Nothobranchius furzeri: one gene and its partners. The protein of the gene in region 1 binds, or shares a complex with, the protein of each later gene. Links are inferred from orthologs where the notes say so. Each region holds a gene or a part of one and is shown on either strand. Other genes may lie near its edges. The genes, in order: mad2l1, mad2l1bp and mad1l1.

Evidence for each region.
Region 2: the proteins of mad2l1 (region 1) and mad2l1bp are in contact, whole or in part, in a crystal structure (PDB 2QYF), measured with the Homo sapiens proteins. The link is inferred for Nothobranchius furzeri from reciprocal best matches to the Homo sapiens genes MAD2L1 and MAD2L1BP. Residues at the interface, in NP_002349.1 of Homo sapiens: Tyr33, Arg45, Thr52, Leu54, Lys122, Asp126, Glu127, Arg129, Ser130, Arg133, Gln134, Thr136, Ala137, Thr138, Thr140, Phe141, Leu142, Leu144, Glu179, Val181, Arg182, Leu183, Arg184, Tyr199, Asp205; in NP_055443.1 of Homo sapiens: Pro61, His79, Tyr82, Gln83, Gln85, Pro88, Leu89, Pro90, Gln93, His96, Ala185, Leu187, Arg188, Phe191, Arg192, Phe195, Asp198, Ala199, Phe200, Ser201, Glu202, Leu203, Gln204, Ala205.
Region 3: the proteins of mad2l1 (region 1) and mad1l1 are in contact, whole or in part, in a crystal structure (PDB 1GO4), measured with the Homo sapiens proteins. The link is inferred for Nothobranchius furzeri from reciprocal best matches to the Homo sapiens genes MAD2L1 and MAD1L1. Residues at the interface, in NP_002349.1 of Homo sapiens: Tyr38, Leu61, Tyr64, Asn67, Val68, Trp75, Gln82, Lys83, Ser89, Ile91, Glu92, Ser93, Gly94, Arg99, Gln101, Ser150, Phe151, Asp152, Leu153, Leu154, Ile155, Tyr156, Thr157, Asp158, Lys159, Asp160, Leu161, Val163, Lys166, Trp167; in NP_001013858.1 of Homo sapiens: Glu527, Arg528, Ala530, Leu531, Gln532, Gly533, Asp534, Tyr535, Gln537, Ser538, Arg539, Thr540, Lys541, Val542, Leu543, His544, Met545, Ser546, Leu547, Asn548, Pro549, Thr550, Ala553, Arg554, Leu557.

Annotation. Positions count from the first base shown.
Region 1 is NC_091743.1:87,157,261-87,161,312, forward strand, and holds the start of mad2l1 (mitotic spindle assembly checkpoint protein MAD2A), read right to left. Parts: upstream 2,868-4,052; 5' UTR 2,731-2,867; coding exon 2,667-2,730; intron 1,401-2,666; coding exon 1,254-1,400; intron 1-1,253. UniProt on the Homo sapiens protein: Component of the spindle-assembly checkpoint that prevents the onset of anaphase until all chromosomes are properly aligned at the metaphase plate.
Region 2 is NC_091752.1:317,446-321,562, reverse strand, and holds the start of mad2l1bp (MAD2L1-binding protein), read left to right. Parts: upstream 1-1,279; 5' UTR 1,280-1,320; coding exon 1,321-1,687; intron 1,688-3,303; coding exon 3,304-3,572; intron 3,573-3,661; coding exon 3,662-4,117. Other genes in the region: uncharacterized protein kif16bb, read right to left, coding at 109-225, 334-444, 511-574, 646-692. UniProt on the Homo sapiens protein: May function to silence the spindle checkpoint and allow mitosis to proceed through anaphase by binding MAD2L1 after it has become dissociated from the MAD2L1-CDC20 complex.
Region 3 is NC_091744.1:8,599,093-8,602,684, reverse strand, and holds part of mad1l1 (mitotic spindle assembly checkpoint protein MAD1), read left to right. Parts: intron 1-125; coding exon 126-354; intron 355-3,592. UniProt on the Homo sapiens protein: Component of the spindle-assembly checkpoint that prevents the onset of anaphase until all chromosomes are properly aligned at the metaphase plate.

The DNA of each region.
Region 1 (4,052 bases):
CACCTAGAAATCCCAGACTCGCTCCAAACGAACAGGGGAATCATGTTAACGATTCCTAAAAAAAAAAAAACTTTCGACATTGAGATGTTTTGGTGCAGATAATGTCTTATTTCGAGGCTGCACCATGGGTGCCTGTCCGCTCCCGTTATATGGATATACACTGATGGCGATTCGCTAATGGATCTAAATACCCCGGGGAATCCAAGCAGCACCAAAGTTGTCAGCGTGAGTAAACAAACGTACTGCATGCTAGAATTAAGTCCGGGTTGCAATAAACGGGAGTTTTCCTTTAAGCACATAAGCGTGAATACACAACTACGTGCCGGATTTGGTATGCTAATTAAGTTGGGCTGTGAAGCACCTCCCAAATTTGATGTTTATGTTTTTGTTTATTTATTTGGCAGACAAAACTTGGATCGGAGACAACTCGCGTGGGAAATTGCAATGTAGCCATGCGGCAGCTTCTTCTGTTTGTCTGGGAAGGGGAGGCTGCTTTACGGCATCTGGATGTCGTGCGTGTCGGTGTACTTGAAGAAGGCTGTGTATAATAGTCTATAATATCGATACCACTTTTAGTATCAATTTATATCTAGGTATCGATTTTTTTGACAACACCTGTCTAGCTTGGGGGACATAATACAAGAGGTGGGACATGTCATGATTATCTGGTCATTTTGTTTTTCTTGCCCAGGTGAAAACAACATGAGCTCATTTGAAGGCATGAATACGTCCACCACAGTAGGTGATGCTGGCGTGGGTCATACAGCAGAGTTATTACAGTTAGAAAGGCAAACATGGCTGAAATCACTGATTAGGGAAAGACAGTAGCAGATGGTAGTTTCTGAGGCCTTTTGGCCGCTGCAGGCACCCATACCTGTTATCTGGTTTTGGAGTGGGTCGGTTCTCAGCTCCACATAAACAGAAATAACGGACGGCGGTAAGCTTACCGAAACATTTGTAGCTAGCATGGCCGCGGGTTGGCACATGCAGATGTAAGGTGGCGTCTCTAAGCTCGTCTCAGAGCGAACGGTTTCTCCGTGGCCATTACAACATTACTGCTTCACAACTGGGTTTGGTACGCTACAGTAGAGACCCCAAGCTGCCTAGATTCAACAACAAGGTAAATGTGGGTGGAGCCTAAAGCTCAAAGAACAGAGGAGCATTCCCTCGAGTCAAACACACCTCTGACCTCTGTTTGGGCACTCTTTGAGGACGCATAAGCTCCAGTCGGAGTTGGTCGGTCAGCTAATTACCTTTGAGCTGAGACACCACGTTGGTCAGGTAGTTCTTCAGCTTGGAGTCAGTGGTGACCTGCAGACTCATGTCATAGTGTGTGACTCTGGAGAACGTCTCTGGAGGATAGATGCCCCGCTGATACAAGATGCTGTTGATGCCAAAGGCTGAGGAGAACAGAGGGCAGTTTCACGTCATGTTTTAGAACACAAGAACCCTTCATTACAGGAATAAGACGATCTAATGAGGGGGAAATGTTTCCTGTTAATCACATCTGCACATCTCTGATTCAAGCAGTCAAACTAAAGCTTGTCTACTCATCATCTGTGCTGCAAAGCGAGTCACCTATGACTCATGTCAGTGTAAAGAGTTTCTGCAGAACGAAGACCGACGTGTTTGTATACCATGGTGGTTGTGACTAGAAATATGGGCCATTCCCATCTGTACCGGGTCGGCCCGGGTAGCGTAGGTTGTTTACATATCTGGGTGGCCTGGTATGTTTCCGGGCCAACCAAGGCTCATTCTCAGCCCTCTTCTCGAGGGGGTCTGCTTCAGGCCGACCAGGGCCAACACACCCACTGCTGACAGCAAATTCACACCTTCCATTAGAGCAAGCCTCTGATTGGTGGGTAGAATCAGCCCACATGGGCTTAAGGCAAGGATGTGTGGAATCAACCGGGCCAGGCTGGGGCCGACTGGGGCTACCCGGCCTGGTACAGATGGGAATGGCCCAATAGAAAACTGATATAAGGGGGCCACTCCCCGTTTTACTTTAGGGATTTTTTAGTCATATTTTAAGTTTTCCTGCCTTCTTATTTTATGCTAAACTTTTAAAATCTTTGTGAACAAACAAAACATTTGTACGTTGTATTTGCTGCACCTGAGTGTGTGTGTGTGTGTGTGAGCAGAGATTGGTTTAGAATAGGAAGAGTCAAGTATGCAATATTTAAATATGAAGAGTAAAGAATCTTCAGTGTGAAGCAACTCCATCCTGGACCAAACATCGTCCATTAAACGGGTAAATGTAGCTTTCACAAAGATTGCTAGGAATATACACAAGTTGTAGAATAAGAGCACGATATATTTAACTGATGTCGCTCTTCTAATCGATTCGGCATACAAGCCACACAAGAACAGTGCAGTTTTACCTGTAAACGGAGCTCTTTTTCGTCTTTCAACGGGATTTCTGCACCAGCGGAGCGGACTGCCTCCAACACGTTCAACTGACGTTAAAGTTACACCAAATGCTAAATATCAGAAACGCTACCTGTAAGAGCACCGACCTGTTTAAAAACCTTCAGGCAACACGTTTGTATCCCTTTACCAGACTTTAGCTTGCAACGCTGGGTGAGCCACACCGAGGCCCGCTAGCATGCTAGCTGCGCGTCGTGTCAACGGCGTTCAAAAGGCGGAACAGAGACATGAACACTCACAGAAGAAGTCGGCCACTAGTTCTGTACTTCCTTTCAGAGTGATTCCCTTCAGCGTGCTGGTCATCTTTCCAACTGCTACTGGTTGGCTTTCCTCGAGGAAGCTTTGTGCTGATTCTATGTACGACTCAACTACCCGCCGTCTACTTTGAAAATGTGTCAGCTGGACACTACGCGCATGCGCGTTTTTGTGCCGATCACGCCCTAGTGCTGCGTTTACATCTGTATGCCCCTAGAGGGCAGTGTAGATAAGTGTAACCGTAGAGCCATCCGCTTTCTGCATCCGCTCATCCACACAGGGTCACGTCTGCAACCAAAGCCCAGATGGGAGGAGGACAATGGATGGATGGTTAATCCTTGTATCTAGTTTTTATTGTATGTAAGTTATTTTATTTTAACTTATAAAGTGTTTTTCCCATGAAGTCACCGGCTTATTGTCTGACCTCCGTCTTTTTATAAGAGAGTTTAAATGACTGCCTGAACACAACAGCTAAAGCGTGTGAGGACAAAAGCAGGTCCTGAGGTGGATTTTCCTGCACCGACTCTTTAAACAGCTGAACCTTGTGACAGGAGAATTATAACACTGTAAAGACTCAAACCAACAAGTGACTAAATAAAATAGTTGTAAATGGTTGTTATGAAGGCCGGATTAAATAATCTGCACCTCTCTCCCTAGTTTCTACGGCAGAGAAAGAGTTTAGCCAGAAGGGAGTAGACCTTGTGCTGACTTATGGCATAGAGTGTGAGGAAATAACGATCTTTCCACATAATCCAGTCCTCTCGGACCACTTTCTGATAACCTTTGAGTTGAGTTCTCGAGACATGAAAGTAAATTTCACTATAGTCGGTCTCTATCTGACAACGCAGTTGCGTCTTTTAAATCAACTGTTCCATCTTTACTGTCCTCAGCATCTCAGAGGCATGTAGCACAGGGCAATATTTTCATTTCTAGCCCCTCACAAATTGATACCTTAGTTCATCATGTTACTTCCTCTTTACGTGTGGCATTAGATGATGTTGCCCCTTTAAAAAAGAAGGTAATTAGGGACAGGAAGTTGGCTCCCTGGTTTAATTCTCATTTACGAGCTTTAAAACAAAACTCTAGGAAATTGGAGAGAACATGGCGCTCTACGCACCATGAGGAGGCCTACCTGTCCTGGAAAAATAGTCTTGTGCTTTATAAAAATAAGCTTAGACAAACTAGAACTGCTTATATTTCATAGCTAATTGAAGAGAATAAGAATAATCCTACATTTCTTTTCAGTACAGTTGCTAAACTTACACAGAATCATAGCTCTGAGCCATCTATTCCCTTAGCCCTCAGCAGCAATGACTTCATGGGATTTTTTACAAGTAAAATTAATTCTATTAGAAACAAAATCTTTAGCA
Region 2 (4,117 bases), on another chromosome or scaffold:
CGGAGGTATAATAGAAGAGGTATGCATACAGCACTGATTGTTGTGAAGTCGTAAATATTGCCGTTACGCTGCAGTGTTCAGCATGCATATTGCAAGTATTTTACTTACCTTATGTCCCATCATGGTGTAAGTTTTCCCTGAGCCCGTTTGGCCATATGCAAACAAGCAGACGTTGAAACCTTCAAAAGCTGCTTTTATTACATCAGATCCCAAGTCCTGGAAAATCTGAAACAGGTGTAAAATATCCATTTTACACATTTATAGAAATAAAATGCAAGAAGTGGTTCAACACTGGTGCAAATAAGAGTTAAACAGATGAAACACAGACAGCACCTTCTCCTGGGAAGCAAACGTGGAGCTTTTACTGTCAGTTGAGTCAAAAGAGAAGTCAAAAGAAAAGATTTTGCCTCTGTCCTTCAACTTGTCTCCACGTAAAGAAGAAGGCTGAAATAAAAAAAAAATCACTCAAATGAACTCAAGTAGAATTCATTCTGTGACGGTCTAGCCTACCTTATGAATGGATGCGGTGTTCTCCTTCATATGCACAATCACCTTTGATGACAACTGTTTTTCTCTGCAACAAGCCGTGCAAAAGTTTGTTTTCTGTTTTCCTGTTAAAATAATAAGTCACTCTGTTCTACTGACCTTTTGTTCAAAGGGCGCACTCTCACCGCGACCTGAACTGAAGACATTATTAATCAAACCAGACAGACGAAGAGCCAACGTCCCGTTGCTAGAGTTTTAAGCAAACCTTGTCCTTGTTTGTTACCACCTAATCTAATCATCACACCTGGAACTGATCCTCACGTTGTCGATGCAGTGCATAAACTGTCCACTAGAGGGTGTCTCAAGCACGTTCTCCGTTTAAATGTGCCTTGGGCAAGATCAGACAATACATCACTTCATAAATATTTACTTATAACAAAAACGTTTGGTTTCCAATTGACGAAACTGTCGTTTGGTAATATTACACGTGGTTGAATCTGTAGTGTGCAAAAAACAAATATCTGAAATGTCCTGCATTCACAATTCATAGGTTAAAAAGGCATTATAAGTCCTTGCAGCTGCTACCAGAAACAGAAGGGCTGTCAAATAACAACAAACGTTTTGTGTGAACCCAAAATATGATGATGATATAAATCGTTTCTTGAGAAGTAAAATAAATGAAACAAGAATAGTTAAATTATTGTAAGAACACCAGAGTGGCGTTGGGAAGCTTATTTTTTCCGATTTTGTGCTACGTAGCTTGAATGCGACATCTATTGGATTTCCCATGATGCAGTGCGAGAAAACACCGGCGCGGACTTTCAAAAATAAAACATGGCAGATAATTCTACTTGTTCAAAACCTACATCAGTCTCGGCGGCGGCCACAGAAACGGAGACCGCTGTTGACACCACGGGTGGCGGGATAAAGGGACGGCTCTCGTTTTCACCACAGAAGGATGTTAGCGTTGATGGAGAACCCGAAATAACGCCTTTAGGCGGCAGTGCGGAAAGTGTCTCCAACGTCTCCAGTTCATGGAGCCAGCCAGAGGGAAGAGCTGAACGACTCCCGTCTGATGCCAGCGACACATGTTCAGAGACGAAAAATGATGGTAAAATAAGAGAAGAGTGTCCAGAACAACGCAGAGGGAGTTCTACTGAAGCCAAAGAAAATGCTGCTGTTCCCACAACCACGTCTCAAGGCAGGTAGCATAGAGTTAGCTTACTTTCCTGCTTTTGATCCGTTTAGGCTAATGTGCAGCTATATTTGGTTTCATACCCAAACTGTTTCCTGATCAACTTAAAATAAGCTTGTGCCGGTCAGTTTGATCAGTAGGTAACGCCTGATGATGTCAGATGTCAACATAATATTTCAAATTATTGCTTGTGGACAAAACTAAATGCAACTGACCACATTAGATGTGCCCAATAACGCCAATAAAATATACATGTGATCACGGCTAGATGGATCGGGTAATTTCAGAACAAGAGAAACATAAAACAAGATGTTTAGAAAGATACAAGTTGTTAAAGTATGATTATTTCACTAAACCAGTTAGGGTTAGGGTTAAATATTAAAACTACAACATGAGAAGCACCAAGTAGAACCGTTGAATTTTCAGCACGGTTGTTGTAGTTAGATTATTTTTAAGGATCGTCTCATTTGAAATAAGATGTTTACCTCAAAAGTCCCTTAAGCTGTGTTTGCAATGTTCTTTCTCTTTAATTTGCATTACCTCAGCTTACGTGTCATCCATCAGTCTGCGTGGTTACACCTGACGCATTTATGTTCATTTAAGGCTCTTTTCATTATTGGTTACCTAAATGTTAAAAATAAAACTAGAGAAAAGAGTCAACATCAAGAATTAGTGGACCTAGTTTTCCTTTTATGTAAACTTTGGAATTATTTAAATGAAGAAATAAATAATGCATTTATTGTAAGATGTTGTTTTTGCTAAAATGTGGTTTTTAGATTCCTGGTTTACTTTTAAAGATGCCAAAAATTGTAAGGATATTTACCAACAGATGGTCAGTTTTCAAATCTAAAAAACTTTTTTGCACATTTTTTACTAAGAATTAAATATCAGATTTTTAATTGTGTCATGTGATGCAGTTCAACATTTTATTTAGGAAAAAATTGCCACGTGCATTGCAAACCACAATTGCAAAACTCAGTTAAATGTGACTTGTTAAATGTTAACATTTGCATATTCATCTTGACTTTTTAGTAGCAAAAACAAACATCTTGCACCATTTTTCCTTGAATCGCATTTGGAAACATTTGTGACTCAAAAGCCACAAAGAGGATTGAAAATTGCTCATGCAGATTCTTTTGAAATCTGTCACATTGATGTAACTCCTTTTTCATGGCTGACACAGCACTTCCTGTGGGGTTTAAAGGTGTCCCGCTGCATGACTCTGCTCCTCCTGACTGGAGTAAGTTAAAGGAAGGACACTCGTACACATTTCTGACACTGGTTGCAGAAAGAGTTCAGCATTTAAGATCAACTCCCTTAGTGGAGATGAGTCAGCACAATGTGGTGGTGTGTTGGGTCTTGTGATTGTGTGATTTAAAAGATTTGAGTCCTGCTGAAGCACAGGTCTCATAAATCTCAATAAGATGCGACTCTGTAAGTGATTTGATCTGATTAGAATCAAAAGTAATCTTCCTCCACAGCCTGATTTCACTCCTCATGTTAGTTTTTGAGACGAGTGAGCTCATCAGGTTTATCTGAATAATGGCTCTGATACATTTCATTAACGTTGACCGTGACGGGTCCATTACGCTCTGTAATAACTTTATTCTGGTTCTGGACAGATAATGCACAAGAGGACCCTTCTGAGCCGGATTTCGATCAGACTGCCAACAATCAGCAAGTTAACACAGAGGAAAATGATGCCGAGGTGGTGAGACGAGCACGGGAAGAAGGCTGTGTGGACGTGGCCTTCCCTGGAGCCGTAACTCAGAACAGCTGCTATCGTTTCGTCAGCGAAATCCTCAAATGCATTCTCTATCAGAGACAACAGCTACCCATGACATACGACCAGCTGGTCTATTCCCAGAAGAAGCTGCATACTACGGCACAGGTAATACATAAATGTAATGTCTCACTGTCAGGTGAATTTATTGTAGATTTGAGATTAACCAACAGTGCTTGGGACGTTCTGCTTCCCAGGATAAAGATGCAGTGAGTCGGAGGCTCGCACAGTCTGCCAATAAGGACCGGCGTAAATGCCATCAGACTCTCCAGGAGATGGAGGAGGTGCTGCAGCGACTGGAGGTGCTGTTTTCCTTGAGCAGGATCCCCCGTGTTTTACTGCTGATGGGCAGCTCGGTCATCCTCCCCAAGGAGATATACGAGATCAACATGGAGGCCCTGGTACTGGCCGATGGAAGTCAGCCTCTACGAGTGTCGTCATGCTTAAGGCAACTGTTCCGCACTCTTTTTGTCGCCGACCTTTTGTCCGACACCAAACCCGTTCGCTTAATGCCCACCACAGTGTTGGCGCTGGCCCACAGGGATTGTGGTGTGGACTGGTTCCGCCCTAAGATGCAGTTTAAAGTCCCAACGCGGGTAAAAAAGCAAGTGATTGCCCTGTCTACTGACCCCGGCGCCTGTAAGAAGCTAAAG
Region 3 (3,592 bases), on another chromosome or scaffold:
TGCTTTTTTGGTCTCAAATTTCATCACGTTTCTCAACGTTGGAAGAAAAAATAATAAAGCCGAGCTAAAGGGCTGTAAAGGAAATCTATATTGTTGATTGATTTCTGTGTCTGTGTGTGTCTCAGGGAGACTATGATCCAGTCAAGACCCGCGTAGTTCACCTGAAAATGAACCCCACTGCTGCTGCTAAGCAACAGCGCCAACAGGATGTGGAGGTACTTCGAGAGGAAGTGACACGGCTCAGGGAACTTGTGCGTTCCTTGCAGGATGGAGGCGCAGTAGGTCTTTCACAAGGTGACTCCTACATAACCTCCAGCCTCAACCTTAATTTACCTCCATCAGAAGAAGTTCTGGGTAAGTTCAACACTCTGAGAGGTATTCATAAACACTCTAACTAAAATAACTCTAAACTTATGTACTGTGAGCATAAACTTGTAAGTCCTGGTTCACACGCAAAGACATTATGCTGATTTTTTATTTGATTCTCTCCTTTGAACAATCATAAGGATGCTCCTGATTATCGTAATAGCTTTGAAAATAAGCAAATGAGGTATACAATTTTCCTGTGGTGTGTTAAGAGTGCTTTGGTATGCTACGAAGGACATGTGGATTACTACGATCACATATCAGAGAAATTCAGCGTGTTGTATTGTCTTAGCCCAATGGTTTGTGCTGCTTGCCCATTGGACACACGGCCATGCAGTCTGTTGAATGATGTGTAGCTGATCAAAGGCAAAGTGATACAAGTATTTTACACGGAGTGACAGGAATCCTCCTCCTCATTTGTGATGTTTTACGATAACACGCTTGATGTTGAATGATGAATTTTTCTCTTTCTTTCTTTCTTTCTTTCTTTCTTTCTTTCTTTCTTTCTTTCTTTCTTTCTTTCTTTCTTTCTTTCTTTCTTTCATGACTTGTTTAGTTCATCAAACTAGAACTGATAAAGGATTCTCTGACTGGAGTTTGTCCATGGTGTCCCAACTTTAAGCAGCCACTACGCAATGCATCCTAACAGATCCAAAATTAAGAAGGCATTTTCTCAAAATGTCCTAGCTTATTAGCTGCCCATACTGTTTGCCAGTAAACGGCTTCCGTACTGATCATTCTAGCAAGTGATGGGTGGACTTCCAGAGCAACCCACTCCTTCATCACATTCAGTGCTCAATACATCAGCGACACCTGGCAGACTTCTAACTTACACACTTTGTTACTTAAGAGTATTGATTGTGAATTTTAATTCATTAATTAAATTAATTAATTAATTTAAATCAAGAATCGATTCTGAATGTCACCCTGAGAATTGGAATCAAATTAAATCGTGAGTTGTCAGTGTTTCCCTTACATAGGCGTAGCCGTGGCGGCCCGCCATGACTGAAATCCCAGCGCCACGCCTGCAAGATCCTGTTTTATAGATTTATTTATTTTTATTTATTTATTAAATTATTATTATTTTTGTTTTTGCTGTTTCCCGAAGAAGCAGCGGGAACTACTCTGTTGTTGCTTGTGATCACAGCTGGCAGGCAGCAAGGAGGAGGAGGCAGGGCAGGGTGGTTACAGCTAGGGATGAGCCGCGGATAAAGCATTTTTGATGAATACGAGCATGAAAGGAGTAAAACTCATAAATATCTGTAATTGTGCTGAAGAAAAATCCTCATTGGGTAACTGACTGCCTTCACGCTCTGTGATTGGCCAGTCACATGGAGTGCCCGCCCCTCCCTACACACAAAACTGCTCCGGCCCACACACACAGACAGTAACAGATCTCTCTGTGCTTGCTTCACTGTTGCTCAAGTTTCTTCGGTACTCCCTAGGTTTTCTTCAGCTCGCCTCTTTTTCGGTTGAATATTTAAAGTTACGTTTTTCGTAACGTACGTGGTGTATTTGACAAGACAGAGCTGAAAACGGCTTGTGCATGCGTTGGTCACTGCCTCCGCTCCGTCGGGTATCTTAAATTATTTGAAAGGGGGACAGAAGGAGATGTTTTTCCTGACACCAAGAAAAATTAAATGCCCCCCCCCCCCCCCCCGCAAAGTGTGTCACTGACAGTTCATAACAAAAACTATTCTTGTGCAAATATTAGTGTATTCACCTTTAATACTAGTTATTAAAATGCAGAAGTTGCTGGATTGGTGCAGTTCAAAATGGAGTGCATCAAATAAAACAATATTAACATAAAGGTGAGACGTGTCATAATCCCCCCCACCCCACCACCACCACAGCTGGAAAAATTCCTAGGGGAAACACTGGTTGTTGTAAGATATACACCCCTACCTGTAACATCACAGGACACTTCTTAGCCAGTAGTAATGGCTGATTCAGATTCAATGTTGTACAGTTTTTGCCTAAAGAGGACGCAACACTTGACAGTTTAAAGCTGAATTTGGAGCTTCAACTTGAATATTTTAATTTTAAATTAGATACACTAATTTATCAATAAACACAACAGTTTATTTAGGGGTGACTTGCTCTGGTAATGTTGTTGGGCGGGTTTCAGGTGGCCTACCTGAGAAAACAGCACTGGGGTAAAGTCAGCAACACATGAGTATTAAAAATGTTTTAGTACCCTATTTCTGCTGGGAATGCTGCATTAATATTTCAGGTTCCTCTGGCCCCTGTCTCCATAGTTTAGTGTAAGACAGGCAGTTAGAACAAGGGCGTGTAGTTATGGCAGGGTTAAATATGAAATTGGGCAGGTCATTGGTGAACGTCTGTTGGCCAATTTGTCTTCCAAAATGTGGCTGTCTTTTCCCACCCCACACCCACACACCATTTGGCTGCTCTGCCGTCCTTTTCTGCTGTATTTCTTTTTCTTTTTCTTGACAAAATGCATCTAAAGCACCACCTTGTGTCATATTAAATAACCAGCGTTCTACATTAAAACTAACACTAAATTACCTAAATAGAAAGGACTGTCTAGTTGACCTTTTAGTAACCAATCAAGGTTGCCTGAAAGCAAAACCTCCAATTTCACTGGGACATTTTGGCCATTTTTTTTCCATTTTGTGTAATTCTTCAAAAGATTACCTGCTACATTCACACTTCATATCACTCATAGATTTTCTGAAGGATTTATTCAAGGTTGGTGTGAAAATCTTTTTTAGAAGATGACCGAGTTTAACAGGAATGTGTGAAAATGTTTGAAGTGCAATGGATGTGTTTGTCTTTAGTCATTTTTTCAACTGGTTATGAAACATAATTTATTATGAAATTTTATTTTTTTCTTGTCATCCTTAAAGCTGCATCCCGAGATTTGCACACATTGGTGCTTGGTTAAGGAGAGATTGGCTTTTGTCTTCCCTGAAAGCTTGCAGACACTTCAGTCGTGAACATTATCAAACAAATCTCTTTCCTTCTGTAGATATTTTCACATCAGTAGGTAAACTGACCAGGTTTTCACTCCTATGTTTTCTCACCTACATGAGTTGGTTTATCTTAATGAGGTGAGTATTTTAGCTAAACAAACTGTATTTCATGAGACAGTTATTTGTTATGAAGCCACCAATGGATTATTTAGTTTTTGCTGGAACACTTACATGTCTGTGAAACACTGGACCAGCTCTATAACCTTAGGGGGATCCTGGAAGGTGCGTGG